Saccharomyces cerevisiae S288C: one gene and its partner. The protein of the gene in region 1 interacts with the protein of each later gene in a pairwise test. Each region holds a gene or a part of one and is shown in the gene's direction. Other genes may lie near its edges.

The links.
Region 2: the proteins of ERP2 (region 1) and YPL264C interact in a protein complementation assay, tested with the Saccharomyces cerevisiae proteins (one large-scale study listed by BioGRID).

What each region holds. Positions count from the first base shown.
Region 1 is NC_001133.9:136,859-140,098, reverse strand, and holds ERP2 (Erp2p), read left to right. Parts: upstream 1-1,753; coding exon 1,754-2,401; downstream 2,402-3,240. Other genes in the region: Hsp70 family ATPase SSA1, read left to right, coding at 1-596; FUN14 (Fun14p), read right to left, coding at 2,589-3,185. UniProt on the Saccharomyces cerevisiae protein: Involved in vesicular protein trafficking.
Region 2 is NC_001148.4:42,783-46,232, reverse strand, and holds YPL264C (uncharacterized protein), read left to right. Parts: upstream 1-1,888; coding exon 1,889-2,950; downstream 2,951-3,450. Other genes in the region: KEL3 (Kel3p), read left to right, coding at 1-1,682; DIP5 (dicarboxylic amino acid permease), read right to left, coding at 3,364-3,450.

The sequences.
Region 1 (3,240 bases):
CCAAGACTAAGGACAACAACTTGTTGGGTAAGTTCGAATTGAGTGGTATTCCACCAGCTCCAAGAGGTGTCCCACAAATTGAAGTCACTTTCGATGTCGACTCTAACGGTATTTTGAATGTTTCCGCCGTCGAAAAGGGTACTGGTAAGTCTAACAAGATCACTATTACCAACGACAAGGGTAGATTGTCCAAGGAAGATATCGAAAAGATGGTTGCTGAAGCCGAAAAATTCAAGGAAGAAGATGAAAAGGAATCTCAAAGAATTGCTTCCAAGAACCAATTGGAATCCATTGCTTACTCTTTGAAGAACACCATTTCTGAAGCTGGTGACAAATTGGAACAAGCTGACAAGGACACCGTCACCAAGAAGGCTGAAGAGACTATTTCTTGGTTAGACAGCAACACCACTGCCAGCAAGGAAGAATTCGATGACAAGTTGAAGGAGTTGCAAGACATTGCCAACCCAATCATGTCTAAGTTGTACCAAGCTGGTGGTGCTCCAGGTGGCGCTGCAGGTGGTGCTCCAGGCGGTTTCCCAGGTGGTGCTCCTCCAGCTCCAGAGGCTGAAGGTCCAACCGTTGAAGAAGTTGATTAAGCCAATTGGTGCGGCAATTGATAATAACGAAAATGTCTTTTAATGATCTGGGTATAATGAGGAATTTTCCGAACGTTTTTACTTTATATATATATATACATGTAACATATATTCTATACGCTATAGAGAAAGGAAATTTTTCAATTAAAAAAAAAATAGAGAAAGAGTTTCACTTCTTGATTATCGCTAACACTAATGGTTGAAGTACTGCTACTTTAATTTTATAGATAGGCAAAAAAAAATTATTCGGGGCGAGCTGGGAATTGAACCCAGGGCCTCTCGCATGCTTTGTCTTCCTGTTTAATCAGGAAGTCGCCCAAAGCGAGAATCATACCACTAGACCACACGCCCGTACTAATTGATGTCTTCCTTTTCGGATAGATGTATATATATACAAATTGGTCAGATTGCTTTTGGCTCCCTTTCGTACGTAACTCATTTAGACTACGGATCACTAGCACTATCTCACCAAGTTTTTAAAAGATCCACTGTGATCATTAAAGATTCTATTTCAAATAAAAATCAATTATCATCTATCGACTAGTTTTCATGGTACTAGTATATTATCATGTACAGTGTGAGGGCTCGACATGAAGATTGAGAAGACAGTCATCGTTTTCAATGGAAGCTGAAATACAAGCACTGAATAAAAAGAGATAACAATATTTTAATGTCGTGATATTGGTTCCCTTCTGCTGGTCTTCGAGGAAAATTTCTGGTATGTTTTGTGTATCTAATATTATATAGCCTTAAATCACTACCTATTTTTCAGATCCGCCAAGGAAGCCACTCTGTGAACTTTAAATAATATTACAAATTGCTACAGCATCTCGAATTCAAGTGTTTTCAGACTTATTTATTTAATTCAAGAAAATGTTCATAAACTTTCATAAAGCAATCCTCAATCCTCTTAGCGCTAATGTTCACTGCACCTTACATGATGGCGTTTGGTTATATTTCAATCCTTTTCAGCGACGTGTCCCGAAACACGAAAAAGTACATTCTGCCAAAACTTGAACTAGTTAAAATGAAAAACTAACAAAATCTCCAGTGATTTCGATTCATTAACCTTAGGGATCGACACCGCCAATTCTGCATCAGGTGACCCAAACTAGAATAAGATAAACAGTGGAGTACACTCATTGTAAAGGAAAACCATGATCAAATCTACAATTGCTCTACCCTCTTTCTTCATTGTTTTAATTTTGGCGTTGGTCAATTCAGTGGCTGCATCTTCCAGTTATGCACCAGTTGCTATCAGTTTACCAGCATTCAGCAAAGAATGCCTGTACTACGATATGGTTACTGAGGATGATTCCCTGGCTGTGGGTTACCAAGTTCTAACCGGTGGTAATTTTGAGATTGATTTTGATATTACTGCTCCTGATGGATCTGTGATTACTAGTGAGAAACAAAAGAAGTACTCAGACTTTTTATTAAAATCGTTTGGAGTGGGGAAGTATACCTTTTGTTTTTCCAATAACTATGGTACAGCGTTGAAAAAGGTAGAAATTACACTAGAAAAGGAAAAAACTTTGACTGACGAGCATGAAGCTGATGTCAATAACGATGACATTATTGCCAATAACGCCGTGGAGGAAATAGATAGAAACTTGAACAAAATCACGAAGACTTTGAACTATTTGAGAGCCAGAGAATGGAGAAACATGTCTACCGTCAATTCCACCGAATCAAGGTTGACTTGGTTATCTATATTGATTATCATTATCATTGCCGTTATAAGTATTGCCCAAGTTCTACTTATTCAATTCCTCTTCACTGGTCGTCAAAAAAATTACGTTTAAGAACTTTTCAATCTACGAAAAATATATGTCCGCAATATAGAACACAATTAGGTTTATATTCGACGTGATTTTTTTTTCTTCCTTAGCCCTATGTATATTTACTGTATAGGATAAATGAAATACCAAAAATAAAAAAGTATAAAACGAAAGAATATAACCCTCGTTTATATCTGGTCATTTGTCTTGCTCATTTGTTAGCATTTAAACTTGCTAATACGAAACTCAATGTAAAGAATACTTTAAAACCCATGTATTCTGTACCCAATAACCCATCAATAAGCAGTTTCTTCAAGTCTACATCTTTCAAAACAATTACAGATTTGATATTTTTCAAATTAATGCGAATCCATCCCTTGTACCGTAACCATTCACAAAGAAGCATGCTTGTAATACCGACATACATAAACAAAATTGATATCTTAGCCACCGTAACTCCTAAAACAACACCGAATAATGATCCCAAAAACATCTGCTTGTGACTACTTATTTTGTTCCTCCTTTCCTCGGTAATTGCCGTACTGTTGCCCACAGTTGGTTCCAAGGGACCCTGTTGTTTGACAGCTGCCCCTAAAGAATCATTGAATATCAACTTAGAAGGCTGGCGATTCATCAAGTAAAAGCCACCAGCAACTATGCCAGCACCGCCTAACCCTACAGAGCGAGTTAAGGGCTTTCCTAATTTATTGGCGACATTAAACCTCCATAAGGGGACGTTCTTGAACATGCGCTTCCCAACATTCAAATTACGAAACACCAACCGTTGCATATTAAAAGCCAAAGTCATTTTACACCTATTATTTTAAGTTCTTCCTTCTTGCCCCTCTAGCGTTATGCTGTTG
Region 2 (3,450 bases), on another chromosome or scaffold:
AACATGAATTGTTCATTTTCGGTGGTGAATTTACAGATCCAGAAACCAAACTAACACATTTCTATAATGATTTGTATTCATACTCCATAAAGAACAACTCTTGGAAAAAATACGTTTCGCAAAATGCACCTTTGCCCAGATCCAGTGCCGCTGTCGCTGTGCATCCTTCCGGAATAGCACTGTTACACGGTGGTGAATTTTCGTCCCCAAAACAATCTAAATTCTACCACTATTCTGATACATGGCTGTTTGACTGCGTTGAAAGGAAATTCACTAAGTTGGAGTTTGGCGGTAGAGACTCTTCACCCAGCGCCAGATCAGGTCATAGAATTATTGCTTGGAAAAACTATTTCATATTATTTGGTGGATTTAGAGATTTGGGGAATGGTCAAACTTCTTACCTAAATGATTTGTGGTGTTTTGATATCTCAACCTACAAATGGACCAAATTGGAGACAAACAGCAAACCTGACGCTAGATCGGGTCATTGTTTCATTCCTACAGATAATTCTGCCATATTAATGGGTGGTTACTGTAAAATCATTGCCAAAAATAATAAAAATTTAATGAAGGGAAAAATCTTGAATGATGCATGGAAACTGAACTTAACGCCTGATCCAAAGAAGTGGCAGTGGGAAAAATTAAAGAATTTCAAGAACCAGCCCTCACCAAGAGTCGGGTATTCGTTCAATCTATGGAAGCAAAACAAGTCCGTTGCTTTTGGTGGTGTCTACGATTTACAAGAGACAGAGGAATCCTTAGAGTCCGTTTTCTATAACGACCTATATATGTTCCACCTAGAGTTGAACAAATGGTCTAAACTTAGAATTAAACCTCAGCGTCAAACGAATAGTAAAAATTCACCCGCCACAAGTAAAAGAAAATCTAATAAAGATCAAGAAAAGGAACTGCAGGATTTACTAAATTCCATTCTGGCCAAGTCTAATCTAAATGACGACGACGATGACAATGATGACAACAGCACAACGGGTCCTAACTCTATCGATGACGACGAAGATAACGAAGATGACAGTGATTTGGACAACCAAGAAGATATTACCATCTCAAATCAATTACCTCACCCAAGATTTAACGCAGCAACTTGTGTAGTGGGCGACTCGTTGTTCATTTACAGTGGTGTCTGGGAACTGGGCGAAAAAGATTATCCTATAAACTCATTTTATAGTATAGATTTGAACAAGTTGGATGGTGTCAAGGTTTACTGGGAAGACCTATCTGCCATCGAAGAAGCAAAGAGACTAGGTGATAGAGATTCGGACGAAGATGAGTTTGAATACGAGGACGATGAGGAGGATGAGGACGACGGCGAAGAGGAACAAGATGCAGGACCCCTTGAAGGTGATGAAGATGAGGAAAGCGAGAGCGACGATGACAAACAAGCGCAGATGGAGATTCCAGACGAAAGGTCTTGGCTACCACACCCAAAACCGTTCGAAACTTTAAGAGCATTCTACTTAAGGGAAGGTGCAAATTTCTTAACCTGGTCTATTTCTAACAACAGAAACCTTAAGGGTAAACAGTTAAAGACGAAGTCATTTGAGTTATGTGAAGACCGTTGGTGGGAAAGAAGAGATCAGGTGACCCTTGAGGAAGAGCGTCTGGAGGATACAGGCGGAATCATTGAAAGAGATACGACTACTAAACCTTCCAAAAGAAGGTAAACATTTTCGCTTTTGTAGTTGAGTTTAAAAAGTATTTATAGCATTTTTTTTTTTTATAGATATCTGTCTTCCATATGGCATCCTTTTCTTTAGTCACTAATTGAGTCATCTGGAAAAAAAAACAAAGGAGACAGGGAAAATTATCTCATTATTACATTCACGAAAGCTGCCCCAACAGAAAAGTAGAATAAACACCTCCTCTCTCAATGACGCTGCAAAGAATTAGTAAAGATTATCTAAAGCCTAATTATGGACTTATCTTACTTATAGTGTCTTATTTTTTCAATTCTTCTATGGTAGTTTCTACCAAAGTCCTAGAAAATGACCCACTGGAAACTTCGCAATCAAGAATTAATCCTCTGCAAATCCTGCTAGTAAGGATGTCTATCACGTACTGTTGTACGCTAGTATACATGCATTGGAATAAACAAAGTGTTCCAGATATTCCATGGGGCCCAGCACCATGCAGGAAATGGTTGATACTCCGAGGTATAATGGGTTTTTTTGGTGTTTTTGGAATGTACTTTTCTTTAATGTATCTAAGTATAAGTGACGCTGTCTTAATCACCTTCATGTCGCCAACCCTAACCATTTTCCTTTCATTTTTACTGCTGGGTGAGCCATTTAGTAAACTTGAAGCCTTGGGGTCCCTAATTTCATTTTCTGGAGTGGTGTTAATTATTAGACCTACATTTTTGTTTGGTGAGCAGACCCAAGGCCAGCAATCTCCACAAGACGATATTGTTGAGACTCAAAATCCCAAATTAAGACTCATTGCTATCGGGGTGAGTTTATTGGGGGTTTGCGGATTGAGTAGTGTTTACATTATCATAAGATATATCGGTAACAAGGCACATGCCATCATGAGTGTCAGTTATTTCTCGTTGGTTACTACTGTTGTGGCAGCCCTCGGTGTGCTTCTAATTCCCTCGATGTCTTTACAACTGCCTCATTCGTGGAAGCAGTGGGGGCTATTTCTGAACTTGGGTATTTCTGGATTCATTCACCAAATTCTGTTAACAATGGGAATCCAGAGGGAGCGTGCAGGAAGGGGTTCGTTAATGACTTATACTCAAGTTATATATGCTGTTTTCTGGGATGTCGTGCTCTTTCACCACTGGCCAAACATATGGACGTGGTGCGGTATGGCAGTTATCGTTAGTTCTACTATATGGGTCATTAATATGAGAGCCTCCAAACAAAACGTTGTGGCTACTGCCGAGCTACTCTCCACATCGGACTTTGAATTAGATGATTTGGAGGATTAAGTGATACCTGTACACTATGGTTCCATGTTGCAGGTGGCTATATTTGAAAAGTCTCCACATATATGTTAATAAGATCGATTACTCCACAAACAGAAAATAACGAAGACTTGAACTTTTCTTATTTTTATGTTTTTGTTTATATTTTTGAATTTAAACTGTTTTATAGAAATGTATGTAATATATAAATTTTATTTTCCTTGAAAAAATGGGTATTTTTCTTTCTATTTTTTCAAGAAAATCTTCCTGTAAATTAATTATGCAATAATGCTGTGGTAGGACTGGAAATAAAAAATGTTGATAACGATTGTTATTAAAGGTAAAAGAAAAATGATCAAAGAGAAATTCTTGTGCTCATTTTTTTGATTGGATGAATATAGTTTCATGTTGCCCTAAGGCTTTGATTAAAAAGGCATCTAGAAGATATTACCCAAAAATTTTTCATAGAACCACTCCATATTTTTACCGTTACTTTTTAAACGCTCTTCCTTTTCTTGGTCCTT